Linked DNA regions of Kluyveromyces lactis. The protein of the gene in region 1 binds, or shares a complex with, the protein of each later gene. Links are inferred from orthologs where the notes say so. Each region holds a gene or a part of one and is shown on either strand. Other genes may lie near its edges.

The links.
Region 2: MRPL16 (region 1) and MRX14 share a complex: the UniProt entries of both Saccharomyces cerevisiae proteins name them as parts of the mitochondrial large ribosomal subunit. The link is inferred for Kluyveromyces lactis from reciprocal best matches to the Saccharomyces cerevisiae genes MRPL16 and MRX14.
Region 3: MRPL16 (region 1) and MRPL38 share a complex: the UniProt entries of both Saccharomyces cerevisiae proteins name them as parts of the mitochondrial large ribosomal subunit. The link is inferred for Kluyveromyces lactis from reciprocal best matches to the Saccharomyces cerevisiae genes MRPL16 and MRPL38.
Region 4: MRPL16 (region 1) and MRPL24 share a complex: the UniProt entries of both Saccharomyces cerevisiae proteins name them as parts of the mitochondrial large ribosomal subunit. The link is inferred for Kluyveromyces lactis from reciprocal best matches to the Saccharomyces cerevisiae genes MRPL16 and MRPL24.
Region 5: MRPL16 (region 1) and MRP7 share a complex: the UniProt entries of both Saccharomyces cerevisiae proteins name them as parts of the mitochondrial large ribosomal subunit. The link is inferred for Kluyveromyces lactis from reciprocal best matches to the Saccharomyces cerevisiae genes MRPL16 and MRP7.
Region 6: MRPL16 (region 1) and MRPL4 share a complex: the UniProt entries of both Saccharomyces cerevisiae proteins name them as parts of the mitochondrial large ribosomal subunit. The link is inferred for Kluyveromyces lactis from reciprocal best matches to the Saccharomyces cerevisiae genes MRPL16 and MRPL4.
Region 7: MRPL16 (region 1) and MRPL39 share a complex: the UniProt entries of both Saccharomyces cerevisiae proteins name them as parts of the mitochondrial large ribosomal subunit. The link is inferred for Kluyveromyces lactis from reciprocal best matches to the Saccharomyces cerevisiae genes MRPL16 and MRPL39.

Annotation. Positions count from the first base shown.
Region 1 is NC_006038.1:1,063,842-1,068,125, forward strand, and holds MRPL16 (mitochondrial 54S ribosomal protein uL16m), read left to right. Parts: upstream 1-2,149; coding exon 2,150-2,815; downstream 2,816-4,284. Other genes in the region: TAH18 (NAPDH-dependent diflavin reductase), read right to left, coding at 1-33; MSF1 (phenylalanine--tRNA ligase), read right to left, coding at 392-1,780; RFC5 (replication factor C subunit 5), read right to left, coding at 2,967-4,034. UniProt on the Saccharomyces cerevisiae protein: Component of the mitochondrial ribosome (mitoribosome), a dedicated translation machinery responsible for the synthesis of mitochondrial genome-encoded proteins, including at least some of the essential transmembrane subunits of the mitochondrial respiratory chain.
Region 2 is NC_006042.1:1,780,879-1,784,864, forward strand, and holds MRX14 (mitochondrial 54S ribosomal protein bL34m), read left to right. Parts: upstream 1-1,945; coding exon 1,946-2,296; downstream 2,297-3,986. Other genes in the region: PDS1 (securin), read right to left, coding at 1-6; GEP5 (Gep5p), read left to right, coding at 616-1,533; MRPL1 (mitochondrial 54S ribosomal protein uL1m), read right to left, coding at 2,619-3,419; TMA64 (Tma64p), read right to left, coding at 3,786-3,986. UniProt on the Saccharomyces cerevisiae protein: Component of the mitochondrial ribosome (mitoribosome), a dedicated translation machinery responsible for the synthesis of mitochondrial genome-encoded proteins, including at least some of the essential transmembrane subunits of the mitochondrial respiratory chain.
Region 3 is NC_006037.1:612,904-616,859, forward strand, and holds MRPL38 (mitochondrial 54S ribosomal protein uL14m), read left to right. Parts: upstream 1-2,075; coding exon 2,076-2,492; downstream 2,493-3,956. Other genes in the region: protein kinase NNK1, read left to right, coding at 1-1,614; putative serine/threonine protein kinase KKQ8, read right to left, coding at 2,783-3,956. UniProt on the Saccharomyces cerevisiae protein: Component of the mitochondrial ribosome (mitoribosome), a dedicated translation machinery responsible for the synthesis of mitochondrial genome-encoded proteins, including at least some of the essential transmembrane subunits of the mitochondrial respiratory chain.
Region 4 is NC_006040.1:1,063,536-1,067,757, reverse strand, and holds MRPL24 (mitochondrial 54S ribosomal protein bL28m), read left to right. Parts: upstream 1-2,029; coding exon 2,030-2,797; downstream 2,798-4,222. Other genes in the region: KLLA0_D12584g (uncharacterized protein), read left to right, coding at 1-1,726; KLLA0_D12540g (60S ribosomal protein eL36), read left to right, coding at 3,465-3,480, 3,896-4,182. UniProt on the Saccharomyces cerevisiae protein: Component of the mitochondrial ribosome (mitoribosome), a dedicated translation machinery responsible for the synthesis of mitochondrial genome-encoded proteins, including at least some of the essential transmembrane subunits of the mitochondrial respiratory chain.
Region 5 is NC_006042.1:1,139,421-1,144,044, forward strand, and holds MRP7 (mitochondrial 54S ribosomal protein bL27m), read right to left. Parts: upstream 2,186-4,624; coding exon 1,091-2,185; downstream 1-1,090. Other genes in the region: ILV6 (acetolactate synthase regulatory subunit), read left to right, coding at 1-821; SGF29 (Sgf29p), read left to right, coding at 2,815-3,555; GCN1 (Gcn1p), read right to left, coding at 4,174-4,624. UniProt on the Saccharomyces cerevisiae protein: Component of the mitochondrial ribosome (mitoribosome), a dedicated translation machinery responsible for the synthesis of mitochondrial genome-encoded proteins, including at least some of the essential transmembrane subunits of the mitochondrial respiratory chain.
Region 6 is NC_006038.1:467,018-471,446, forward strand, and holds MRPL4 (mitochondrial 54S ribosomal protein uL29m), read right to left. Parts: upstream 2,249-4,429; coding exon 1,250-2,248; downstream 1-1,249. Other genes in the region: 8-oxoguanine glycosylase OGG1, read left to right, coding at 1-1,058; U4/U6-U5 snRNP complex subunit LSM3, read left to right, coding at 2,912-3,163; NTE1 (lysophospholipase), read right to left, coding at 3,448-4,429. UniProt on the Saccharomyces cerevisiae protein: Component of the mitochondrial ribosome (mitoribosome), a dedicated translation machinery responsible for the synthesis of mitochondrial genome-encoded proteins, including at least some of the essential transmembrane subunits of the mitochondrial respiratory chain.
Region 7 is NC_006038.1:66,022-69,706, forward strand, and holds MRPL39 (mitochondrial 54S ribosomal protein bL33m), read left to right. Parts: upstream 1-1,701; coding exon 1,702-1,917; downstream 1,918-3,685. Other genes in the region: TIF35 (translation initiation factor eIF3 core subunit g), read right to left, coding at 1-771; transcription elongation factor SPT5, read right to left, coding at 2,221-3,685. UniProt on the Saccharomyces cerevisiae protein: Component of the mitochondrial ribosome (mitoribosome), a dedicated translation machinery responsible for the synthesis of mitochondrial genome-encoded proteins, including at least some of the essential transmembrane subunits of the mitochondrial respiratory chain.

The DNA.
Region 1 (4,284 bases):
ACCATACAATATGACAATCTTCTTGTTCTGCATGGTTTCAGTAGTCCGAAATACTTCTTAGCAGCTTTAAATGTGTCTTGAATCGTTTACAGTATATAATCTTTGATGTTCATCACATGTAATATGTAAGCTATCTCAGTATTTTTCACCTTGAAATCTTGCTGTTAAGAGAGATATGCGATAATAACGATGAACAGACGATGAATTAATGACAGTGTCGTTGTATTTCTTCTTAGATAGTGTTCAAAAAGAACTGTATGGTTACTAATTACCCACAGATCTTATTGATCACTAACCGTTACATATTGAAATGAATTTTTTTTATACTATTAACATGAAATCGCATCACTAGTAAATACGACGAATTTATATATAATATTTTGTATCTTGGTTATCTCAGTTCAACGCCGTATAGTTTCACCAGGGTATCACGAACTTTATCCTGCAGCTCATTGACTTCCTCGTTGGTGACGTTTCTGTCCATTGATTGATAGTTAATACGGTAACATAATGACTTTCTACCGGTTTTGGGGTGTGTGAATGAATCAATTAATTTGACACATTCAACCAAATCTCCTGCTACGTTTCTAACGATTTCCATTAGATCATTCTCATGGATAATGTCAAAGTTCTTATCTGTTGGAAGCCAGAAGGCCACGTCCCTGATGGTACCTGGATATTTAGAGTACGGTTTGAATTTGTTGATTGTGCCCTCTTTGAATTGGGAATGGAACCTTTCGTCAAGGGTCCAGAATAATCTGATATCAGGGATCTCGAATAATAGCATTGCAATGCGGTCAAGGCCTAATCCAAAAGCCCAACCGATGTTTTGATTTTGTTCATATCCAGCTTTTAATAAAACGTCTTCACGGATAAGACCGCAACCGCAGAGCTCAAGCCAATTGTTTTGCCAGAACACTTCAATTTCCCATGATGGTGCAGTCCATGGGAAATAAGCTTGAATCCATCTAACCTTCAACTCTTCTCCCTTCACGTTACCCATACTTGCCAACTTTCTCTTGAAGACTTCCAATACAACAAGCTCCAAAGATCTTTTCAAATGGCGAGAACATAAATCGACTTCTTCCATCGTCATGTATTCCTGCTTTGGATTACCTTCCAAGGAAACGTTATCTTCCACGACAAGTTTCACTGGGTCGTCTGCCAAAGTTTTCTCCAATCTCTCGAGATCTTCTTTAATCTTTAATAAATGTTGGTTATCCGGTTCCCTTTTCCAAACTCTACCACCTTCCATTTGATGGAACACCGGATAATGAGTCCTGTCAATCTCATCTCTTCTATAGACATCGGCAGAGATTAAAAATCCAGGCTTATCAGTCTTACCCACATGGCCAGGAACAAACCCATTGATATTCTTGAAACATTCCAACTCATGGGCAGATGTATGCGTTCTTAACAGATGACAATCGTTCAAGTAATAGGTATCAGATTTCGATCTACCGGGGTGATCTTCTGGGAATCCCAAAGAATCAAAATTCTCATGTACCGTAACCGCAGGTTTGAAATCGTTATAGATCTCGAATGAGTGATGAGGGTCGTTCAGCTTGTCCTCGATAACACTTCTTAAGATCCCAACAGGGTGTGATGGTTTCAAATAAACAGCGCGATCAGTCAAATTCAAAATCGAACTAGTTACATTCGTCTTATCTGATACTGGGTACGTCTTTCCATTCACAGAAAGTGTCTGTAATGCCACATTGGAGGTGCTAAACAACCTTAAACATGGTCTCAAAGTTGACAATATCGTCCTATTCGACATCGTTTCGGTATTAAAGAACCCTTAATAACAGTAAAACTGGGGCAATTCAATCAACAAAACAAAGGTAATCCCTTAGCAATGATATTACTAGTGATATTTCACTGCCTGAAATCACCAGAACAGGTATATCAAGTGTTGTTTAACGAGACTTTTGTATCTTCTTTTGAATGTATGTAGAAGGTCACATGATTTCAAGATATCTTCAACTTCACCAAAAATTTTTCAATAATGAAAAGCTTTAAGAGTAAGTAAAAGAAGATCCAGAGCATAGAAATTGATTTGAAAAGCAGCATAAAACAGTCCCTCGCGCCTCATTGCAAGGATCTTATTTCAGATCAGTGAGCCTCCTTTATCGTAAATTAGATCACCATGTTTTCCAGCGTTTTCAAGACTGGATTTCGCTCACTAAATCCATTAGAAAGTCTGCAAGTAACCGCTAGGCGTTTTACACATGAATATGCTCCACGTTTCAAGAACCAGACTAAGAAGCAAAAGGGTCGTGTGCCAGTGCGTACCGGTGGCTCTACTAAGGGTAATTCGCTTCAATTTGGTCAATTTGGTTTAAGATTGAAGTCTGAAGGTGTGAGACTTACTGCGTTACAGTTGAAGGAAGCCGATAATGCTATTATGAGATACGTTAGACCTTTGAATAACGGTCAATTATGGCGTCGTTTGTGTACAAACATTGCTGTTTGTATCAAGGGTAATGAGACCAGAATGGGTAAAGGTAAGGGTGGATTTGACCATTGGATGGTCAGAGTACCCACCGGTAAAGTGATCTTTGAGATGGCAGGTGACAATCTACACGAGAAAGTAGCACGTGAGGCGTTTAGAAAGGCAGCAACCAAGCTTCCTGGCCTATACGAATTCATATCGAAAGATTCTCTGGTAAGAGTAGGTATCAAGAGTGTAAAAGATCCAAAGGACGATCCAAAGATCAATTACTTTGAAGAACTAAAGAAGAAACCTACAAAGGAATATATTACAAAGTTGAAGTCCCAGCAACCGGAATATAGAATGTTCAGGGCTCGTTGAAATAGATCGATGTGTGTATATAAACGACTCTTTTACGTATAACTTTTGTGAGAGCTAATCCCACTATCTGTAAATAGGCTATCAAAGATTCAAGATTTAAAGTCCCAAATGAGTAAAGTTTGGTTGTTTGTCAAACTACAAAAGTTAATACTTACGTATATTTATCTATTTCACACATTGTCCTTGCAATGAACCCTTCTAAATGGTAGATTGCTTTGTTTCCAAGGTTGAGACGGTGATCAAAAGTGCATGCAGTATCGATAATTGCCAACTTCAACGGATCTGACTGGGCATCTGAAAGCAATTGCGTCGTTAATTCATGGACTATGGTTTTGGCAGGAATACAATGGGCTAATAGATCATAATTTATGGAACGGCATTCTACAAGGTTATTAACAGTTCTTTCTTTTAATATTTTCCTAGCCATTTTATGGATCACCAATTGCCAATCAGGTCTGTTCAAAGGTGTATCGTTTCTTAAATGCAATTCATTTTGTAGTGAGGTAGATTCTAGTGCTAAGAGTGACATTCTCAAGTTCCCCTTTGACAGATTCGCTATCCTCTCTAGACAATTGCCCTCGGCAGTTATTTTTTCTTTGGAACAACAATCCTGCAGGATAGACACAGTTTCTTGCAAACTTGGTGATGGTACTCTAACTAGCAAGCAACGAGACTTGATAGGAGCAATGATACTGGACATTGAATCACATAGCATTATAAGCCTGATGTTACCAGAGTATTTTTCCATAGTTCTTCTTAATGCTGCCTGGGCATCTCTAGTCAACGAGTCTGCCTCGTTGATGATAACGCACTTGTAACGATGTGCCAAACCATCCTTGGAGTCCTGGAAATCTACTTGTTCCATTTGAGCGACTTCCTTAATCAATTCTTGTATCACAACACGATCGTTGTTACCAATATCGCTCGGAGTAATCTCTAAATGGTAGGGACTACTGACTACATTCAACTCCAGCTTACGGTTGGATGGTGTGACGAACTGTCTAACGTCGATCTTCAGCTTGTAAACCCCAGAACCAAATATTTCTTGCAACAGTGCCATACATCTAGTCTTCTTACCAGCACCATTGGGTCCATAGAACAACAGATGTGGAAGATCTTGAGGTTGTCTCGTTAATGAGTACAATTGATTTGTTAATTCTTCATTGTAACTTAATGACTGTAGAGTCTTTGGTCTATACTTATCAACCCACAAAGACATTCTCGTATAGGAATTTTAAATCTTGTTAGTCGATGTAGCTCAATGTAACTCGCTGGAATGGCTCGTTCGCCTGCTATGCGTTTTGATTAATTGTCTCTCAAGTACTTTTCGTGATGCGTTTTATTAACAATTTCGCCAAACGTTTCTTCACGTTGACATTTTGAAATTCAAATGATTTCAAGTAGACGTAACTTCAATAGCCTTAAAACAACAACATCAAGTTAGATAGTATACCAGCAGTAGGTACCAT
Region 2 (3,986 bases), on another chromosome or scaffold:
CGGCATAGCTATTTGAATCTGTATATAGCCAATATCTCTTCTAGTCTGACTTCACGCTAGCTTAACAGACAAAATTGGAATATCTTACCGTTGATTGCTCGGCTTTGAACGACCTTGAGCTCTTACTGTTTGTAAATTTTGAGACAGTTTTTGTTATGTTTGTATATTTGTGTTGTTGTTTTTGATCGAATTTGGTGAATCAAACTGAGTATATGTGGTGTATGGATGTTACGGTGATACTGGATACATCTTCATTGCTTAGTACTCATGAAAATACTCCAAAAGAATCCGGAATGTCGCGATGCTTTGAGACTATGCCCACGTCAACAAGGAGCAGTAGCAGTGCCTACTACAAAATGTGAGTTTGTGTCGCTGTTCTTCCTGGTTTCGTTTCGTGTCTGGCTTTCCAAATTGCAATATGGAATAGTAAGTAGGTACGAAAATTTTCTAGCCTAGAGCACACACATGACGATCTTCATACAGAGAACAGGCTCGGAAGAGGTTCTGTATTAATCTAAAGACGAAGGTTATTACTGTTTAAAATAGGTCATAATCGAATGGACATACTGTGAAGTATTGTGCGTATTTTTTTGACAACAGTTTTGGAGGTTGACGATGAAGGCTAGTCTTCTGAGAACTTCGAAATTATACAAGGGTCTTCATTCAATAACTAAAGACGCCATTTCGAAGGTGGACACTTTCCCCAAGAATAAGCAACATGAAACGCTACATCGGTTAAACTCTTTCAATGAGAATCCAACACGCAAGACCTTGGAGAAATTAGTCTATTCTGTTCATTTCCATTTGTTGAACGATCCTCCTAAACACGTAGACATATTGAGACAATACCCTAATGAGTTGGCAAAATTTTGGCCCTATGAAATGCAGCACTCGATTTTAGAAATGGATGACCCAAATCTAACATCTCAAACGATTTTATGGTCTCGTAACAATAAGGATGCTTTGGATTTCTTGAGCTTCAATCGTCATAAGTGGCTGCGGCCGAAAAACTGGCAGACTCCGAATGAGGAACTTATAAAAGATATCACAGGAATTGACGGTCTTCAATCAACTCAAATTACAGAAGTATTAAGACTCCCTGCAGAAAAGATAAAGGAGACACTACGGCAAATTTTCGAGCATTACTATTTCTTGAAGACAAATCCGAAACTATGCGCTACAAAAAAACTCCAGGCACCAATCGTTGAGATCGGAATGAAACCTGATGGTTTCGATATAGCCGACATCAGGATCGATAACTTGTTTAAGAAAAAGGTCAAGCTAATTAGTGACCTGCTCTACTCGCAAAATCCGGTGCTGACTTCAGATGCAGAGTCTATATTAACGTCAATAGTTAACGACCCAGATCTCAATAGGCGAACGAAAAGATTGTATAAAAATGTTGCCAGCAGATCTTACCTTTTCAAAGATGGGAAGTTCGAAATAAGTGAACTTGCTAGAGGCGGATTTGTCCTGTCGAAGGAAAATTTGAGCGAGAACTTAGCTGCTGCCCTTGAGGAAGAACATAATTGACTTATGAACACACATCACGTGATATATAATTTACCTACAGCTACCATTTTAGCTCAATGTAAATAGAAAACACTTTAATAATAATGTTAGCCAGGAAATGAAACCGCCAATACACTTATTGTAACAGACTAGTCTAAGACCGATTTGAAGTTTCAGCGGTTTGCTAGAAGCCAAGTTTGTTCGCTTCCACAGATGCTTTCACTATTTCCAACATCCATCGATATTTTCATACATTTACATTAGTCTCGAGAAAGAAAAAATTTGAATTCAAAGAAATCAAACGAAGAGAAACCAGGACATATTTCTTGAAGACGAAGTCTCCTAAAAGTAGTCGCCCGAACTACTCATTAGTTATCGATAAGGATTTAATTCGAAGTGAAGAACAATTAAAATAAAATCTCATCCAGTCGTTATGAGTTTTATAACAAGAAATCTTCTTCAGTGGACCTCAAAACGTACATTAACCAGTTTCTCTAGTTTCTCACCTTTAAGAACACTAGACTCACGTCTTCATAGACCTTTGGCGCAAGTCAATCCAATGGAAATCACTTTACAATCTCAAACACAAGCAAATGGCTCATCAATATTTGGTATGTTGTTCGATTTGACTCAGAGAAGATGGAAAAGTAGAGGTAACACTTTCCAACCGAGTACTTTAAAGAGAAAGAGAAGAGTGGGGTTCCTAGCAAGGGCAAGATCTAGAAGTGGACAACAGATACTTAAAAGAAGAAAGAATAAAGGCAGATGGTATTTGACTTATTAGTTCTGTTCAACTTTCCAATCAAACCAGGAACGTTATGGAAGCGCCTGATTATAAAGAATGGCTGAATCTCCTGTATATATATCCACATCGTCATTATGTATTTTAAGAAAACGGAACAGTTTTGATTTTAGCTTTGCCATCAGAAAGCTGGCATGACATTAAGATGATTCTATCGGATAGGTTTATAGTTATCAATTGCAGAAGGAATCTTTTTTCTATTAACGATTTCTATGTACATGGGCATTATTTCTGAAGTAAGTTTCATTCTATCTTGACAAGGACAACAATTCCAGTTATTGTTCATAAAAATTGGGTTGCTTTATTAAGCAAAGTCAATCACAATACCAGGACCGTGTGTACTTGTCAGCGTAGTTTGGGACAATATGCTTGGTTTTTTCGTTTGTTGATTGGTGATAGATTGTTTGAAAGCCTTCTGTGTTGCCAACAAGTTCTCTAGAACTTCCTTGTCAGTGAAATGGGTCTTGGCAACACCTAAACTAATACTGTTACCACGTTGTCTGAATGGAACAGAGCTCATACTATCTTTAATCAATGGCTCAAGATCTTCGGCGACGGTTCCCTTCTTGGCAGTTGGCAGTAAACCACGAGGACCCAAAATTCTACCAACTTGAGAAGCAAGTTGTGGAACAATATCTGGAGTTGCAAAAGCCTTGTCAAAGTCGATACTGACTTCACCAGCCTTGATTTGACTTACTAAATCTGAACCGCCGACTAAATGAACACTGTATTTATCTTTCATCAAAGCCGCTTGTGCCTCGTCATTAGTGAAGACAGCAACTTTCACATCTTTAAGAGGTTTGCCGAAGGAAACATTACCTGTAAGAGGGGGGACACCTCTTTCTGCTACCACCAATGTAGTTAACGTGATGGTTTGTTGGCTTGCTGGTTGCCCGACTTCGATTGCACGTAAGTATCTTAGTGCTCTAGAAACTGGCATATACAGTGGATGGTCACTGGCCGGAGTTTTTGCTTGCAATCTTCTTTGAACCATTTTTCTTAGCTCCCTCTTTCTAAGTTGCTCTTTAGTCAACTTAGTACCCGTTTCTTCCGCTAGACGGAAGGACGTTATCTGGAACTGCCTGGTGAATATTCTTGGAAACATCTTGCCGACCCTATTAGCCTCTAAGTAGCGAAATTGGAAAAAATCTCAGGTTATTCAGAGACACAAGTCTTTGAAGTTTTTACGTGAAATAGTTGAAAATTGATTGTATCCTCTCCAAAGGGTAATATAACGTCAACTCGTTGTTCTCATCGTTCTTGTTAACGCTTCCAAGATTTTAATCCAACTAATCATTATACTAAAGCTGAAAAAATTTTGATACATCGACAAATCCGGGTAATATGTAATTGGTATACTGTTTATGTAGGTGAATAAGACGAGGAAGAAGATGAGTTATCTATGATATACAAGGCCCTGGAAAGACCACAAAGAGCAGTTTCACATAATGCCTATCTGCATAAGTGTACCTTACAGCTTCTTCTTTTGTTTTGGTTTGACTTTATTTTCAAACGAAATCCATTTAGTAGGAATACCGTAGTCATTCAAAATAGAGATTACGATTGAACCGTGTGGACCCTGAACCTGGACTTCAGCAGTTTTCGTCGATTTAGACTCACCAATGGTGGTGGATCCGCTGCACTTCTTTCTTAATGCAGCAGCTAATTCTTC
Region 3 (3,956 bases), on another chromosome or scaffold:
AAGGAATCAGTATTGAAACTAGACGATTTGCATTCCCAAGTGGCTCCTATCCCTTTACCAAATGTTAAAAATGAGCAACAGCCTCAAATTCCTATAGCAAGACCGAGCTCATCATCGTTATTTTCTGCATCGTCTCTGAGAACTCCACCTGCCCAAATTGAAATATCAGAACATGACCTAGATAGAATTATGAGATCTATTCCATCGGATTTCATCAATATGCCATTTTCCCAACGTAAGAAGATCATACAGGATTTAAGTCCCAACCATGACTATAAGACTATTATGAACATTTTGAAACGTGAGAAATTAAGCCACAGTGGCTCAACACATAACGTGAGATCCAGACATGGATCAGTTGCATCGAAATACTTGAACTCTTTTACCCCCGGTTCTAGTTCTTTCAAGAGGGACGATAAAGGGTCTTTCATTTTGGGTCATAGACTTGGCAAAATAATAGGGTTCGGCGCTTGGGGTATGATCAGGGAATGTTTCCCTTCTACAGATGAATCTCAAAACCAGAATAATACTTGTTGCAAGGCGATGAAGATTATCAAGTTCAAGGACAATCGAAGTGTAAAGAGGCAAGTACTACGTGAAATCTCAATATGGTCGAAACTTTCCCACAATAATATTCTTCCTTTAACAAAATGGAAATTAGACGATGATCTGGTGGCATATTGTTTAACAGATAAGATCGATCATGGAACCTTATACGATTTAGTTGTTTCTTGGGGCGAATGTGGTAATTCAAAGATTAGTTTAAGAGAAAGGTGTCAAGCTACATCCGCCTTAGCGTTACAATTAATTGATGCTGTACAATATATGCATTCTAAATTCATTGCACATGGAGATATAAAGTTGGAAAATTGCCTTCTAGAAAAAAAGTCTGAGAACTACAAAGATTGGAAGCTTGTATTATGCGATTTTGGCATGAGTCACTTTTATGGCCATTTCAAAGATCAGATGGAAAATGAATCAATTCAACTGAAATCCCTATTTGATGGGTCTACTCTTCACTTGAAACGAAGACCCTCAATTCCAAGATCTTCCTCTTCAACGAATAATTCTTCTTTACGGTTGAAATCAAGGTTAAGACAAATAGTGAACGATAAAAAATTAATTCATGATGATACGACTTTGGGTATTCACTCCGTACCAAAGAGCACTCGTTCTAACCTAACCAGCTCGTTGAACCAAAAAACAGACATTACATTAACACCTAACAAAGATTTGCATGAACATATCAACGATGACATGAGCAGAATTGGCTCTTTACCATACGCTGCTCCGGAGTTACTAGAACCCAACCCTCCTCCCATTGGACCAAGCGCTGATATATGGGCCATTGGTGTTTTAATTTTCACCATGCTTACCGGCAAATTACCTTTTAAACATGAATACGAGCCCAGACTTCGTGCAATAATAACTTCAGGTAAATATGATAAAACGACACTACGCCAAGTTTGTAACTGTGATATGAACTCGAACTTGGGTGTAGATGACCAGGTGGAATTCCAAGGTCTATTCAACGCAGTGAAGGGCTGCTTAACGAAAGACTTAACCCGGAGATGGGAACTTGATATGGTGAAAGTAGCTCTGGGTAAGCATTGAAACTAATCCTAAACTAACAAAATATTTTCTACTATTCTGTCCTTGTCAGTTATAACCCTTAATTTTTAATTCAACAAGCATACCAATAGCATTAATAGTAACGCATACTGTTACATTGACCTTTTTTCTGATGTTTTACCATTCTCAACAGCATAATACTTAATAATTTTACTGAAGTATATAACGATAACTAATGAAAACACCAGCTGTCTTAACAATGACGGCGTTGTAAGCACTTTATTTGTATGTAGTAAGCGTTGATAATGGCGTTGATTAGCCAATAATAAATCAATCACGTGATATACATCAATTATGGGTTAAGAAAAAATTTGATGAAACCAGACATAGAAAGCTTTAATCCTTTCTCTAACGATAGTCCAGGAAGAAAAGCTGTGCTTTCCCGATCAGTAGCAGCCTGCAGCACACGACCTAACTGAAGTTCACACTGTGACTGTTATAACATGATTTATTTGAAGTCTTTTTTGAAAGTCATTGACAACTCAGGTGCTCAAATTGCCGAATGTATCAAAGTACTTGGAAAAGGTTCGCCAAAATCTCCAGGTAGAATAGGTGACAAAATCGTCTGTGTGGTGAAGAAGGCTAAACCATTAACACAAACTATTACTGGGCAATCCAATAACAACAGAGTGAAGAAAGGTGATATTGTACACGCTGTGGTGGTACGTACCAAGCAAAGAAATATGATACGTCCTGATGGATCAACAATTGCGTTCGGTGACAATGCTTGTGTATTAATCAACAAGAATAATGGTGAACCTCTAGGGTCAAGAATTATGGGTAACGATGGTGTTGTCGGCAGAGAACTAAGGGAAAAGGGCTACAACAAGATTTGCTCTCTAGCAAGTAAAGTTTTGTAAATATGTTTCACCACTGGTAAATATCGATTACGACTGCGCAGGGCTTTTAGAATCATGTATATAGATAATAAAAAATAGAAAATATCGTTAGTAAAGTTTATGAAAATGCCATGATAAATATGATGGATACGCGACTACCAACTTATTGCTCATTGACAGTGATATCAATATTTTATAAGTGTTTCAAAGAGATGTATGTTTATCTTAAATATAGATAAAAATGATGCGAAAGAAACTAATCTAAATCTGCCAAAGTAGCAAGGCCTTCAGCTATGAAACAAATTTTGGTGTTACACCGGCCTTGGTGGATATGTAACGCAGCATTTTGTCCTCTTCATCCACGAACTTTTTAGCAATGAATCCACCGTTATCCTTTTATTCGGATCAACTTGGAAGATATGATAAAGTGCAGCAGTTCTGTACCGGTTCATACCTGGAGACACATGTTTCATTTCGTCAAATACATAATATTGTCCATGTTTTTCCATATCCTCGAGGAATGCGTCATATACTGAATCCTTGCCTTTGATAGCAATTTTCCATAAATAATGGCCTAAAACCATAACACAGTAGATAATACCACAGCTCCAGCAATCAACTAGTCTTGGATCGTATTGTTGTTTTGGAATAAACTCCTCAGGCGCAACATAAGGCTCAGATCCTGCTGGTCCGGTTTGGAAATGTGCTTTCTTTTCCCAGGCTGTTTGGAACACAGAACTTGTACCAAAATCACATATTTTTAATACACCTGTAGGGAGAAATAGCAAGTTTTCTGGTTTAATATCACAATGAGCTACACCGTGAGCATGCATGTATTGAATACCATGTAGTAGTTGTTTCATGAAGCAATCTGCTTCTAATGGATGTAAAACTGAATCAGATTTTGAGCTTCTTGTAATCAAGCTGTATAGATCACCTGAAGGGCAAAATTCCATTACTTCATAAAATGCGTTAGGTGTTTGCATTAAATCAATAACGTTTAAAATGTTAGGATGTGTTCTTGCCGAAGATCTTCTGCTTTTGTTACCACCACTCAACGATAATCCTATCACAAATTCTGAGGTTAGTCTTGTGCTAAACTTCTTTGGAGGCTCATCAGGTCTTGGCTTCAGTTCTTTTACCGCATAGAATAACTTGTTATCATGGAAATATGTATTATCTTTCAGATCAGGTTCATCTGGGTCAATAAATTTATAGCATAGTTTTACAACCCCATAGGCACCTTGTCCAATGATACCGATCGACTTCCCGTATTTCTCACATAAATGCTGCTTTCGTGGAGCAGAAGAAGGTTCATTGGAGGAAACTGCATCAGACTTAGAGCCCTTCAAACAAAATCCGTTATCGATCTTTTCGGTTAATTGGTTTATCAGTTTCAATTCGTTAGCACCAATGACGGATTTTTCGTTAACAATCTTTGGTACATTGGCTGATTTATTTGGTCCCTTATAACCATCTTCATCA
Region 4 (4,222 bases), on another chromosome or scaffold:
ATCCAAGCAAGAGATTTTAGAACAGAAGATTGAGTCATTCAATAACGAAACTAAGCCACCACATTTACCTCCAAGGGACCACATTGCGGGAGAGAAACCACCACTTCCTTCAAGATCTCATGTGGCAACGTCTTTATCTGGACCTGTACATTTCGTACCTCCACCATTGTCCGAGGAAATGAAGTCTCCCAAGTTTCGTGCTCATTTTAATCAGCATAAACGTTCCGACAGCAGTGATTTCGATTTGATATTGAACAGATTCATTCAAAACGAAACCGAATTGGAACTAAGAGATGACAAAGAGCGTGAGCATGCAAAAGAAGGTACCAAGACACTAAGAGAAGAATATGATAGCTTACTAGATCATGCGGACAAAGAATTGGTACAATACGATTGGCCATTCTGGAGTAAGCTGGTTCATAATTTTAGCGATATAGTCAAGGATGACTCAAAGAAATTAGAAACTGAAGTAGGGAAAGGTATCCCAACTCAAGTCCGTGGTATTATATGGCAGCTACTAACCAGTTCAAATTACAAGGAGATGGAGGAGTTATACTGTTCCTTACTTCTATTGGAGTCACCGCATGAAAAGGCAATCAAAAGAGATTTATCTAGAACGAAGTTCATCCCAGAAGGTAAGACAGATTCTTTATTCAGCGTGCTCAAGGCTTACTCTCTTTATGACCCACCAGTTGGTTACACACAGGGCATGGGTTTTATTGCTACTACTTTAATATTGAACTGTGAAGAAGAATGGCAAGCGTTTTCTCTATTAACGAAACTCATGAAAGTATACGGATTAAGGGATTTATTCTTGCCGGGAATGCCTGGCCTGATGTTGAAATTGTACCAATTTGATACACTTTTGGAGGAAAATGATCCTCAATTGTATAACCATTTGATCAGGCAGGGAATAAGATCTACAATGTTTGCAACTCAATGGTTCCTGACGATGTTCGCATACAAATTTCCCCTTGAATTCGTTCTCAGAATCATGGATATTGTCATACTTGAAGGTATCGAATCGATGCTAAAATTCAGTTTAACGTTGATGTTAAAGAACAGTCGTAATTTGATCATTCTCAGTTTCGATTCTCTCTTAGACTTCTTGAAGGAGGACCTTTTCCAACACTATGCTTCTAAGGAGAACCCAGAAGAGTACGATATTGATAGATTCATCTCTGATTCGTTGGAAATCAAATTAACTCCATTGCAATTGGAGCGTTACGTGAAAGAGTACGATGAGATTCACAAGTTGGAAACGGAAAAGGAACAACAATATGAGGAACAAAGAATTAAAAACAGACAGCTTCAAAAAGAGTTGAAGAAATTAGAAAATGACTATTCGCTATTAAACAGAGAGCATATCACTATTGCCAATGAACTAATTGAAAACAGACTTCGGATGGAAACTCTTCAGGACGAAAATAAGGATTTATTACTAGAGATAGAAGATTTGAAGAAACAACTGGAACGTGAACTTTATAAACAAACGTTACCTAATCCAGATGCTGAAATTCCCACAGATTTGAAAGCAGATTTGAATAGAACAATGGAAAGAAATCTGGAAGTTATGGACGAAAATCAAGAGCTCAGAACACGCCTTGACGAATTAGAAAAAGAGAACTATGAATTACGCACAGGTAAGACTTGGACCAAAGATGCCACCAATCCAAAGGGAAATCGTCTCGGGAATTGGGCTTTCAAATCACCATGGAAGAAATGAGAAAAATTGCAACAGGGACCTCATTCACAATATCCATCCAGCCGTACATATATACATACCCTTCATACATACATGATACCGCCAACCATTACGCAGAGGTGTATTCTAATCATAAATTTCCTTATGCTTTACCATTCTCGCTGTATACGGTTTTGATCTTTCCAAAGCTTATTCAAAATTTTAGAAAATAACGACTTGATACATGCACTAAGGTGAAGAGAAGGAGCTTGAACCTAGTATGAAGCTAGTTGGTCTAAGAGTCTCTGTACGTTCACCAATAAGCACGGAGATCGTTCATCTGGAATGAAGTTTTTTCCAAGTTCCCAAAGAGGGTTTTCCACTCTTAGCCACCTCCTCAGAGAATGGAGATTAGTTGAAAGCAGACAGATCCCAACTCCAAAGACGTATCAAGTCGGCGACAGCAAGCCATTATATATCCCAAAGGAGAAGAAGGAATTCCCTGATTATCCATACGGAGAATCTCCAATTTACAAACAGAGTAACAAAGGTTTATACGGTGCGTCTTTCATCCAATTCGGTAATAACATCGCTGAATCGAAGACAAAAACCAGGAGATCATGGAGTCCAAACGTTATTAGAAAAGGACTATGGAGTGAGACTTTGAACAGAAAGATTAGTATTAAGATGACAGCAAAAGTTTTAAGAACAATTACCAAGGAAGGTGGTATTGACAACTATTTGACTAAGGAAAAGGCCGCCAGAATTAAGGAATTGGGACCTACTGGTTGGAAACTCCGTTACAGACTACTGAACTCTAAGGAAAAAGCTGCCAATCCTGTACATAAGGACGCTGAGACTGTCACAGATGCCAATGGCAACGAAGTCACCGTATTGTACAAAGTTGTTGTCGATGGAGAACCATTGAGAATTACTGCTGGTAAGCGTAAACTATTGCATACCCTTTTCCCATTGGAAAAGATGGAACACAAAGCGGATGGATTAGATCTATCGTTTAAGAAATTCATGGACCAATTTGCTACCCGTGACGTGGCAGACATCGTATCGAGATTAAAGGCCTTGAATTTCGATTTGAGTACGATTACTGTATGAGAACTGAATAGATTTTGTTCCAATTTTATATAAAAGCTTGTAAACAATGAGAAAATAGATTCTACCATGAGCTGGGAGGATGCTTGAAGACTATGCGTTAGTTGTCCGACTGACCGATGCAAGAGTTAATCACCCACTGTTCAATTGAATTGAACGGTGTGCATGTGACTGTTGCACCCAGACATTATTGACTGTTGCACCCATACATACTCAATTTCTGCTGAAAATGAGAATGTTTCCATACTAGGAAATTATTTTCTCATGTCCACCAAATCCGCTGAGCTGACGGTAGGATGCACAGACACATCCCATCCGTCTTCGTTGCTTGCTTCGAGCTGGGCAGGGCCTGTCCCGTTTCCTCCCTAAGCTGGACTGCCCGGTCTGGGCCTGGACATTCCACCAAACTGGCCGCTGGACTGCCCACTTAGACCCCAGGCTAGGCATCTCATGGTTTCCATTCACTTCCCATACCCTCCCAAACACTCCTCCGGGTAATCATCCTCTGGAACTTCTATACTGCTACAGCTTTTCACAATTTTTCAAAGTATTATAAAAATTTTCTGACGATTAGAGCATCAATATATACACTGTTAATAGATATATGGTAGTGTTACAGCTTGTTTAATCTGTTGTTTTAATACCATCACGAACGACAAAGAGTAACAAAATGGCCGTTAAGTCAGGTATGTGATTTGAATGAATGAATGAACGAAGAAACTAGCGAACGAACGAATATTTTGAGGGAGATATCAGTAACAAAGGACCTAGAATTGGAATAAGACCGTATAACCAAATGAATCAAACGAGGAACAGTAATATATTGTGGGAATACATTGCACTGAGGAAAGAATTATTGAAAGTGAGATGAGTGACATAATTATGATTGCAGCACAGATATCGATGATTATAAAAGTGTAGACATGATTCATGGTAAGACAGTGCACGTATTTGGTGCACCGCCCCTCTCTCAAAAGAAGACAACGTAGTTTGGAACCTCTGTTTATCTAAAAGGACCATGATTTACTAACATTTTCGTATATTTATATGTCTATTGACAACTTAAGGTTGTTAATACCCATACTTATAACTGTCTTACAGGTATTGCTGTTGGTTTGAACAAAGGTAAGAAGGTCAACCAATTGACCCCAGCCCCAAAGATTTCTTACAGAAAGGGTGCTGCTTCCCAAAGAACCACTTTCGTCAGATCTATCGTTAAGGAAGTCGCTTCTTTGGCTCCATACGAAAGAAGATTGATCGAATTGATCAGAAACGCTGGTGAAAAGAGAGCTAGAAAGGTCGCAAAGAAGAGATTGGGAACTTTCGGTAGAGCTAAGGCTAAGGTTGAAGAAATGAACGAAATCATTACCGCTTCTCGTCGTCATTAAAAAGACTGTTTTGCCCTAAACACAGAATAGTAAACTGCGT
Region 5 (4,624 bases), on another chromosome or scaffold:
CTTCGGCTCTTGCTTATAAGCAACTGCATAGAAATAAGGCAAGACCTCCTTTACCAACGATCGAAACTCCATCTTGGTCTACTAACAGTGCCATCTCATCGATCCTATATGAAAATCCAGTAATCTCAAAGGAGCCAAAGAAACAACATGTTTTGAACTGTTTGGTTCAAAACGAGCCAGGTGTTCTATCGTTAGTCTCAGGTACTCTAGCTGCAAGAGGCTTCAATATCGATTCCCTTGTGGTCTGTAACACTGAAGTGAAAGATTTATCCCGTATGACCATTGTGTTGCAAGGTCAAGACGGTGTCATCGAACAAGCCAGAAGACAAATCGAAGATTTGGTACCAGTATTTGTCGTGTTGGATTACTCTCATTCCACCATCATAGAAAGAGAATTGTTGATGACAAGAATCTCTTTGTTGGGTGCTGAATACTTCGAGGATTTGATTCATCACCATGAACAAGATGAAAATACTGATACCGTTGAAAGAATAAGACAACAGCAATTCCATCCTTCCAACCTTCCACTGTCCCAAGTATTGAGATTGAAGCATGAACATTTAAACGACATCTCTAACTTGACTGGTAACTTTGGTGGTAAGATTGTTGATATCGCTGAACAAAGTTGTATTGTGGAATTATGTGCTAAACCATCCCGTATCTCTGCATTCTTGAAACTTGTGGAACCTTTCGGTATCTTGGAAGTGGCAAGATCAGGTATGATGGCTCTACCAAGAACCCATTTATCTGTCGGTGATGAAGATGATGCTCAAAGCAAGATGAATGACATCGTTGATATCTCTCAATTGCCTCCTGGTTGATCCAAAGGGCTCACCTGCCATAGTTTTGTACCTCAAAACAATCCAATATCAAAAAAATAGTAATGTAAGAGTATGTTTTGGATTTTGTCTCACACATATAGACAAATTAAATACGTTAACGATATAATATGGAATTAACCTTTCCAAATGATATATAGTCTCTAAAAAACTTTCGTTTTTTTCAGTTTAAACTATGATGATTGTTGTGGTTCTTTTGTTAATATGTACAAGGCTCTAAATGGTTTGTTACGTAACGACTTGGGGAAGATTTACAATTTGCTCAAGAAATCGGTCTTTGGTCTTGTAATGACATCTATCGTGTTTTGTTCGTAGTTGTAACGTCTGGTGGTTAGATTTTTCTTGGAAGGTTTGAGTGGTTCTTCCAATTTCTTCAATTCTGTTTCTGGTTTCACTGGCTTCAAGAATTTTCTGCGTAGTCTCACCTCTTCAGATAACGTCAAGAAGTTCTTTGCATCAGTAAACTTGGCTAGTACTTGCTTCTTACTGTTCTTGTCCTTAATATCAATTGCCTTCAAATCAGTAATTAGTTGTGTCTTTAGAGTATTCTTTTCTTCTGGAGAAATGTATTTAGTTAATTCAAGCTTGTTGTTAAATGACAATGATTCATTCAATTTGGTCGAGACCTGTTTCAACAATGTTAGTTTGTCGTCCAACTTAGATTTTTCTTGGTTTCTCATCTTCAATTTAAGTTCTTGTTCCAAATAGTAGTACGAATTAAATCGGGCATCGGATTCATTGAACCCATTCTTCAAACAAGTTCTCCATCTGAGCAAATATGGTAATGCAAACGCAAGTTCTTGTTGATCCAGCTCAACTTTCAGATCTGAAATTATCTTGCTGTATTCTGCCTTCAACTCTTCACGTTTAATCTCACGTTCTTGCTGTTTCTTGATCAATTCATCCTTCAGCAAATAAATCTTTCTTGGTAAAGCGTTCTCTTCTGCAATGGCTTTCTCTTCATCCTCAATGATGGCCTTGCCGAATCTTCTCAAACGTGGTTCGAAATGCGGCAAAGGAAGCTTTACATCCTTGTATAATGATACACCAATGAATTTCTTACCTGGATGAAATGGATCCAAATAGTATCTCACATAACCCGGCTCCAAAGCGAAAAGCGTATGATCTTTACCGATGCCTACATTTTCACCAGGATAAAACTTGGTACCACGTTGTCTCATGATGATCTCACCAACTTGAGTGGCTTGACCCTCGTATTTTTTTGGACCCAATCTACGACCAGCAGAGTCCTTCATACTGGTACGAGAACCTGCTGCACGCTTGGTTGCAGTACGCACCTGCTGCACCACAAACTTGGGAACTTGTTGCCACGAAGATGAGAACATTATGCGTTGTTTCGTAGGCCTGGTCCGAACAGTATCAAGCAATGTCACAGTAACTGTATTTCTGCGTGTATCTGTACTTAATGTATTTAAGATAGGATTTTAGTGACAAAAATTTTCCACAGTATGGCGGATTGTAAGGTAGGGTAACAACGAAATCCAACAAGATATAGCCCTTCGAAGGTTCGTGTAACTGACTGTTTAAGAGTTGAAAGTATTGATTTATACATTTTACCAATTTCATCTATTGCTGAGAGTTCTTTCGATACCATAGTGAATTTTTCATGCTTGAGAAGGAGTAAACGTCTAATTCACGTCAAAGTTATTCGAAACTGAGGTTCCAATTAAAGATCTACCATCACTATATACGTTTTGATGTTCTCTTCCAGCACGAAAAACTCATATTTCTCTAAGTACAAAACATCAAGAAACCGACACTGCTTGCATCGAAAAGAAGTCTTCACCTTTCAGATTTACGTTTGAATAAACAGGACGTCCATTTATAGAAGTTTCCCAAATTAATTATCGTGCTGGTGAAGCCCATATTATCTAATTGAAATAGGAATACTAAGAACCGACAGCCCATAGATAAAAAAAAAATAAAACAAAATATATCAGTGATTCTAGCGAAAATGGCAACGGAAGATAGATGGGGTCTTGCCGTGACTCAATTACAAGATCTATATAAAATAGGAGATATTGCGGGGTTTGAGTCTTTAGATCCGAAGAATATGAATTTCCAGAATATGAATTTGAATCAATTGGCTGATATCCATGAGAAATTAGAGGCTCGTCAGTCTGTAAATGAAAAGATGAGAAATTACTGCAGAGATTTGGTAGAGAACATTTCATACATATTAGATAATTATCCAGTGGAAGAGGAACCTATATTAAAGGAGGAATCCAGTTCGACGCATATCCCTGAATCGAGTGTTGTTGGTAGATCACATTGGACCAGTCAATTCAACCCAAGTGAACCAATTGAGGTTGGTTCCGAAGTTGCATATAAATCTAAAAAGACTGGCGAATGGATCCAGTGCATATGCACAAAAGTTTCTGGGGACGGACTCCGGTTTGAAGTGAAAGATCCAGAACCCGATGAATTTGGGAAACCAGGTGGTATATTCAAATGTAACTCGAAAGAGATCCTCTTGATCCCGCCCGTGACTATGAAAAGAACCCAGACTCCGAATTATCCAGCGAATACAAAAGTTTTGGCAAGATATCCAGAAACAACGACTTTCTATCCAGCTATTGTTTGCGGAAGCAAAAGAGATGGGACATGTAAGCTACGATTCGACGGTGAAGAGGAAATAGACAAGGAGACTGAGGTGGAAAGAAGATTAGTTCTTCCTTTCCCCTCTAGACGATGAGTTTCTTAATTATATCACGTTCACGAAATGTATGTAATTTTCCATAGCCTGTAACAATAAAGAAAAAAAAATTATGAAAGAACATTAAATAAACCGTATCACATTGAGATAATGTAGGAACTAGTAGCGGTGCCTGTTTGTGATTTATCGCATCAGACGCGACAGACATTAAATACCATAGTTCTAGTTTCTTATTGTCGAATATTTTGTATATGATTCATGGTGTACCTTTTTAACAAAGTGACACTTAAATCAATAACAAAACTGTGTTTTGTGCTATTGTTAGTGAATCTGGTTCTAAAACTGATGAAGGCTCCAATTTTGCCTTTATTATTCCGGATATTAACCACCTGCCCAGCGAACAAAGATGTATGTATCTTTTGGTGGCAGAAGTATTCGATAGTAGAACAATGGGTATGGAGGTTGATTGATTATATTGATTCAGAGAGACTTCAGGTTCCACATGAACAAGTTTAAGTCACCATTTCAAAGTACATCTAGTAAATCGTGATTGCTTTGCAGTAATAATTTTGTAAGTGTCTCTTACAAGTCAGTGAGATATATAAATCTGTATAATATTATGTTTGTCATTACAGAGGTTGGGTTTGTGCTGTTGTTCTAAATATCAGTGTTTAGCTCAACACCACCAACGGTCCAGATTTCATTTTCATCTTCAAATCTATCAGAGAACATCGCCTCGGCATCTCCACCGGCTGCAATCTTGTCTCTTTCAACAGCAGCTAGTCTCTTACCAACTCTCTTGGTGTAATCTCCTAAGGATCTTAGTTGCAAAGTGTCACCAATACTGTTTTGTATGGTGGATCCTTCGAGTTTCGAGAACCAGGAAGTGAAGGTTTCCAAGTTTTCTTCTTCAACAAGATGGAACATGGCTAAGTATGCCTTTTCTGCAGCCAACTTAATTGGGATCACTGTGTCACGCAAGCACGAGAAAACAGATGGAGCGAGTAAATCGTAGTTGTTTTCGATAGTTTCAGCGTACTTAAATCTTGCAAGCGTTCTTACCACGACCAAAGCCAATCTTCTACTGTCTAGAGAATTACTGTTAGGT
Region 6 (4,429 bases), about 600 kb from region 1:
ATTTGGTGATGTTGAGACAGCTTGATGACAATTGTATTGAATATGACTGTTACAAGAGGGCGAACCTGGAGAAACTTGAGTCACATCTCAAGGATTACTTTGAACTTGATGTATCTTTGAACAACTTAATGACTCAATGGTCAGATGCTGATCCTAAGGGATTTCAAAATAAGGAACATAGAGGAGTGAGAGTACTGAACCAGAATCCCTGGGAAACTTTATGCTCTTTCATTTGTTCTAGTAATAATAATATATCAAGAATCACTAAAATGTGCCATTCCTTGGCCACTGAATTTGGTGATGAAATTGCAGAGTTTGATGGTGCTAAGCAGTATTCGTTCCCAAGTTCGGATCAGATCGTAGAAAGAGCATCTGAAGAAAAACTAAGAGATCTTGGCTTTGGTTATAGGGCCAAATATATCATTGGAACTGCTCAACTGATGTCTATGGAAAAAGGCGATATGTCTGATTCAGAGTATATGCTCAGTTGGCGCATTAAGGGTAAAATGGGGTATCAAGATGTCAAAGAGAAGTTGATGGCGTATCCAGGTGTGGGTCCGAAAGTAGCTGATTGTGTGCTTCTCATGGGAGGGTTGGGATTTGACGAGGTAGTTCCTGTCGATGTACACATCGCAAGGATTGCATCGAGGGACTACAAATTAAACAACACTAAGCAGGAAATCAGTGAACTGCAGGCTGAATACAAAAAGTTACCGATTACACGTAAGAAGGTGAACTATGAACTTGATATGTACAGAAGGAAGCTCCAGGATCTATGGGGCCCATACGCGGGCTGGGCACAATGTGTCCTTTTCGCACAAGAAATTGGGAAAACAGTTGGAGCAAGTACAAGTGATAAATTAGTGAAAAGACGCAAACTGGACTATGATGCATCTGGAGAAGAAGAAGACTTTAAAGTTGTAGTCAAAGACGAGGCAGAGATCAGTACGGAAGATTCTTTGTCCACGGTTAAAATTGAAGATACTATGTCGATAGAGTATAGCATTACTGGGAGGCCGCTACGGAGAGCGGTAAAAAAGGCTAAAAAGGTCTATTGAATTAATTGACTGCAAATAAAACTCTCTTTAAATACAATTCTTATTCGTCAAATTAAAGTGTTGTCGAAGGAAATTTTTTGTTTTATATTCCGTTATTTAAGTTGGTGTATACATATGTACAGGAAGGCTGGGTTCATCCAAATGGACGGTTACACTTATCTCTTTATACAATCACTTCGATGGCATTAATATCATAGTGTATTAGCGTTGTTTTTTGCATCTTCTTCTTGCAGCTGTATTTCCGCTTCTGTTACCTTTGCCATTTGAGCCTCAGCTAATTTATTAACATATTCTTGAACAGTTTCCAATTCATCGTATCTAGACACAGAGGAGCCATTTTCTCTCAACTCCCTTACCGCTTGACATGCTTCTGCGATGGCAGATTCTGTGTTTTCTGATGTATACAGAAGGAAGGATTCACCTGCATCCACAATTGTATTGTTAGATTCTTCTAAAAAGTTCTTGATGTCCTCGTTTCTTAGTGCAAATTTCTTTAACTTCAATGTTGCAACCGCTTTCAATCCATCCACAAATGTTCTGTCCACTTTGTTCTCATCGATGTACTCAGAGATACCGTATATGGCATATTGAAAACGTTGCAATGATTCGAAAATCTCTTCATCTTCGTTAGCAGGAGCTTCTAAAAAGTCTTTTTCGAATGATTCGATAAATACTTGTTTTTCAACAGCAAATTTCTCATTCGCTATCTTGAATGCCCAGTCTCGTTCGCTAAGGACGTGTCTTATTCTCCACATTGTCGTTCTGATCTTTTCGGAGATATCTTGGTATGCTTCGGTTTGTGCTTCAAAGTTGAACTGCACCAAATGGTTTTCACGTGCTAATACGTTACGTTCTTTCAAACATGTGTACCACAAAGAATGTAGGTCAGTGAACGATTTTCTTCTCAACTCTGGGATGGTCCAAGGTCTCGAAAGCGTATCCAATTCCTCGGGCGTTCTTAAAAACTTCTTCTCGGAGAAAAATTGCCATAAAGGATGATCATCTGGACATGTCAAATTGGCAGCAGCCGGTGGAATAGGAGCTGTAATCTTTAAATCATTATCGTGATGGGTCCTCTGGGTAGGTAGTCTAACGTTCTCTCTCTTGGCTGGTTTGGGTTTAGGTTTGGTGAATCTCGTCCTGGCACATGCTCTAGAAGTAGTATGCAATCCCCTTCTTGCTGGGAACATTTTGAAAATATAATATCCCTGCTATAATAAACACGTCCTGCAGCTACTCAATCGAGGTAGAACACTTCAATATCACGACAGCTAGCTGATTCATCCATGTTTTAATTCCTATTCAGCTTTCCTCTGCTTAAATGTTATAAAAATTTTTTGATCGAACAGAGTTGATTCGGGGTCCGTCATTAGGTTGCCCGGCCTTTGTCATGTGATAGTCACGTGAATATCAGGTTGACTATTGACTCTCTTAGTGAAGCATAGTGCAATAAGATGATAAACTAGCATCGCATATCCTGGCCATCTTTCAACAGGTACAGTATCATTCAAAGATGGTTGGAAACGTGTACCTTCCCTGGTTTAACTGATTATTCTATAATTCAGAGCTTTCCATTGACATCGAAATTCAAAACTTCAACACTTTTTATCAATTAGTACGTTAACAATAATTTGGTGATTAAGTATGTTATGGAGGATGCTCTGGAGTGTGAATGGAACTAAGCCTTGGATTGTATATCGACTACTCTACTATACCTGGTACTCCATTTGATAAACTGACAAAGGAAACCATTCAACCTAACTGCTGTACCCTCTATCAATTGCATTATTGGTTATTGTAAGAATACGACTGCATCATAAATATAGAAGACATACACACTTTACGCCGCAAAGATGTCTGATACGCCTCTGGATCTATTAAAATTGAATTTAGACGAGCGAGTATATGTGAAATTACGTGATGCTCGTGAATTAGTGGGTACTCTTCAGGCTTTCGACTCACATTGTAATATTGTTCTTTCAGATTCAAAGGAAACCATTTATGAACTAGTAGAAGGAGATTTGAAAACGACCGAAAGGTTTTCGGAAATGATTTTCGTTAGAGGTGGTCTTGTGGCCCTTGTAACAACACCAGAAGATGAATGATTGTCCAGTATCCTTCTTCTTCTTTCAACATTTAATAAGGGAAATTCGAAGAAATAACTTCATGTCCTCATTATTGATTGAGTGCGATGTGAGCTATCCTCATTTTGCCCCCAATATACATCCATCGCTAACATTTGTATAGTATATATTTAGTTTATTCAATTTTTTTTTAACTTTCGGTTTACAGTTACTTAGAAACTATAACGTTAATTGCCATGGCTTTGATTTTATGTCCTGCATGTCCACCATCGACAAATGTGGGTAGCGTTTCCTGTTAATTCGTTTTATATACTGTTCCGTCTTTGTAACATGTTTTCTTTGTCGGCATAAGCAGAAGTTGTGGTACCCGCAATTGGCGGTAATTCGTTTTTCTCTTGCAGATGTTGTAAAAAGTCATGACCGTACGCGTAGCCTACTTGGTATATTTCTTCAAACTTACCAAAATCCAAAGTCGCATAGTTCTCAATAGGAGGCCTGATGTACACCACACCTGGTGTACTTTTAGCCCTTTCTAAGGCATTGACAGAAGCAACATATCCTAATCTCATTTGTATTTCCGCCATATTAGGAATGTTGGGGTGTTTCGAAAATGGATTCCATCTATTTAAAACAATCCAAAATCCGTTCAAAGAGTCTCCGTATGACATTGGAGTCCTATCATCGACTGATCCAACGTCTACTGCAAACACAATTTTACAACCTCTCTGTGTCATTTCGGTCACTGGTAAGTTGTCGACATAACCTCCATCTAGTAACATATTACCGTTATCCACAATTGGAGGAAGAAGGCCCGCAAGTGACATAGAAGCTCTAATATAACGCCATGCAAAACCTGATGAGTGAATCTCTTGAACTGACTCTGTAATATTCGTCGAGTTACAGTAATATGAAATCCAAAAATCTTCAATCCTGTAGTCTCTAAAAGATTTCCATATACCACGATTAAACTCATGTCCTGTAGTGTATGATGTAACTGGCCAAGTCAAATCACTTAGCATTCTCCATAGTGAACCAACTCTACCAGCGAACTTCTTGACTCGGCCATATATAGGAACAAGATCGTAGTCCATGGCATATAAACCTCCAACGAACGAACCAATTGACGTTCCTCCGATTATATCAATTGGAATTCCTTGCTCCTCTAGAGCCTTAATGATACCAAGATGACTTAATCCACGTGCCCCTCCTCCACCAAGAACTAGACCAACAGCTTGGCCTGAAAGAGTTCTAGCTAGTCTTAGGAAATCATTCTTGATAGGATCAACT
Region 7 (3,685 bases), about 1.0 Mb from region 1:
GTGTAACATGAAATTCATGAAACCTCTGCCTTCCAATAATTTCAAAGCTTGAGCAGCAATTTCTTCAGTTTGGAAAGTAACGTAAGCAACACCACGGGATCTACCAGTTTCTGGGTTCTTGACGACGAATACTCTAGGAATCTCACCGAATGGGAAGAGTAATTCTCTTTTAAGCACTTCTTCATCTGCAAGTTCGTTAACCTGGGTCAATCTAATAGTCTTTGCATCATCACGTTCTCTTTGGTCTTGGTAAGCATTAGAAGATGGATCACGAGCACCAGCACGTAGGGATGGTGGCACGTATCTGCCAGAGCCAGAGCCTCCTTGAGCGCTCATATCTCCACCACCGATAGCCGGGTCTAAACCAGCAGATGTAGTAGGTTTCTTTCCCAAAGTGTCTTTGTACGGACAATGCATGGTGAAATGCGCACCACCACAAATTCTACAAGTAATTACCTTTTGAGTCGAGTTAGCAGCCTTCTCCTTTGCCTTTTCTTCTTCCATTTCCTTCCAGTTAGGAGACAAGTCTAACTCTAATTCTTCACCTAATTGAGTGGTTGAAATATCTGGTCCTGGGGCAGCTCCCTTATCAGCACCATATTTCTTCCAATTTCTTCTCAAGGCGATGTTCTTGTTAACTTTCTCGGTGACAGTAATTTCCTTAACCTTCTGCGTAACCTTGTACTTCTTACCATCTTGGATTTTGAAACTGATGACGGTTTTGGAACCATCGTCATTCTCGATGATTCTTGGTTCAGGAATAGCTGACATGTTGTGAATCTTTGTATTATCTCCTTAAAAAAATAGGATTGTAGAAAAAATTCCTTTAATTTCTAGACGCGTGTTATACTATCAACAATTAAGAAGCCCAATTCTGATTTGAGGTATGTCAAATATCCTCCTTTCAAGTTATGGGTCTGTAGATAATCTGATCGATATCAATTAATTCTCTTTGAAGAAAAAAACTTCGCACAGATGATAGTCTCAAATTTTTGTTTCAGTTCTTTATTGAAACACGTAAATCGGATACACTTGGCGCAGTATACTCCTTTCTTCTATCAAACAGCTGGATGAAACCCTATGCACCTTCTAGGGTCACCTTACCATTACGTTTATTTTAGCAGGTAACTTAGAACTCATTTGAATTTCCATTTTTTTCTCTTCTCTTTCGCTGATTTTGCCTCTGTCTCTATGCGATGAGCTTTGGAAAATTTTCAAAATTTTCATCAGTAATGTATATCGTGTTGCACGGGTGTAACAGAGATCCGTAAGCTCCAGCACTAATTAGTTACCTTAATTATACCGTACTGTGTACACCAATCAATTCAGTTAATACCTTCTTGTTGATAAAAGCGTAGAGTAACTATATGCGAATACTTAACTTGACTTGTGAATATGTATCTGTTTCACGTGATATGAAGTACGGATCATTTTTATGTATATTGCATATTCATCAAAACGTATGTAGTGATTTGACAAAATTTTGATTATCCATTACTTCTTCTTTAGCAATGTATCCGACCCAATCAATACTGAAAGTAGTGGGAGTTCATCAATTTCTGCATAGGACGGTGTATCATCGGAAAGTATTAAGGGCAGAAAGTAATATTATCCTGCGTACTTCTCTGTCTCAAATTCAAATTCAAGGAATTTCACAGAGCTAAGGATATCATATATAAACTGCAAACGAACAGGAAAACGATGGCCAAGGCTAAGACAAAGACTACAGTTATCAAACTGATATCAACTGCTATGACAGGTGTGAGCCGTCATGTCACGATAAATAGAGCTGCACCATTAGTGACGCAGGTGAGGTACGACCCTGTAGCTAAACGTCATGTTTTGTTCAAAGAGGCCAAGAAAAGAAAGGTTGCAGAGAGGAAACCATTGGACTTCTTACGTACCGCAAGACGTTAATGAATTGTATTTAACAATTTAACCACACCATTTGCATGTATATAGAAAACACTCACACTGCAATAACTACCGTTGAAATAGACGTGATTTAAGAGTTCTATAGTAGTATCGGTTTGTAGTAAAGAAACGAAATTTTTAACTAAATTACATTTACTTAATTCACTTATTTAATTGGTTTCTGAGACTAATTTGGGCAAGACTATATATACAACATCCACATCGCGTGGAGTAATTTGGAGATAATAAGATGAACAATTGATAGGTTTGTAAATTATCGTGAGGCAATAACTTGTATGATTATTTCTAATTATTTCCACCCCACGTACTTCCACCACCTCTAGCATCCTGATTACCCCAAGCAGATCTATTGCCGCTATTGTTGTGTTGGGATGCATTGCCCCATGCGGATCTCTCTCCTGAGTTATGCTGCGATTGATTGTTACCCCAAGTGGAACTTCCACCGGTGTTTTTAGATCGTTGTGATTTATTACCACTGCCACCCCAGGCAGAGACACCTCCCTGGTTACCACCCCAGGTAGAAGTACCTCCATAGCTTGATTTATTGCCACCGCCCCAGGCAGAAGCTGCTCCTGATTCTCCGCTTGCTGCCCAAGAAGAGGCGCCTCCATAACTAGATTTATTACCCCAAGTGGACGCACCACCCCAAGTTGATGTAGCACCTTGCCCACCCCAGGTGGAAGTGTTTCCAGCAGCTCCACCCCAGGCAGAAGCACCACCAGGGCCTTGTCCGCCCCATGTCGAAGCACCACCCCAGGATGAAGTTCCTCCGTTCTGGCCAACCGCAGGAGTTTTACCGCCATCAAATGCATTCCAACCAGGAGTCATTCCACCAGGAAGTTGTTGCGGAGTGTTCGTTGCCACCGCACCACCGGCAGCCATGTGTCTTGGTGCACTGACATAGCTTGGGCCCAATCTGGTATGTGGAGTTCTACCACGTCTACTAACAAGTTCATCGTATGTTATACCTTCACCACCTTCATGACTGAAGTAAGTAAGTTTTCTTTTGTCTATTGTAATATGCTTATTTTTGGAGTGCAATTCAATAGTAGCCTTATCTCCATTGACGTCTTTGACAATACCCAACTGCCCCTTGTATCCCGCAGAACGTATCCTAACAGTTTTGTTCAAAGCGACGTCACGGCCAACTAACCGCGTCTGCTGAGTAGTTTGTGGTGGTCCCATCTTAGACGCAATATTTGGATTTATTTTAGATAAATCCAATGCTGACGACATCAAGTTTTCTTTTGAGGCGACAGCCTCGACATTCATTGGATTAACAACGAAAACACCGGCATTTTCCGTTATTGTTTTCGATCTAATGAAAATATGTTGGTTTTGAACGTAGAGTACTTGTCCCTCTCTACGGGAACCGATCTTTTCTCTTACTACATCGCCAATTTTTATTTCTCTACCATTACCATCGACAGCAGCTACTTTCGCTCTTGCTACATTGATCTTGGCAAGAATTGAGCCTTTAGTAACAGTAGCCACTTTACCGGAGTCGTCAATAATCTTGAAAATATCATGTCCAGCCTGGATCACACATGCCACGTTTTTGGCACTTAACTCAACAATGTCATGTAGAGCGTACTCGCTTGATGTCGGAGTAGAATCCATAGATTTACTCAAGTTATTCGCAGAGATTGTCAAATTTTCTCTAGTTTGGTCAGAAACAAATGTGACTTGACCGTTCTGCACCAAAAGAACCAAACCAGCGTTACCTTCATGTTCACCAGCTATTACTGTG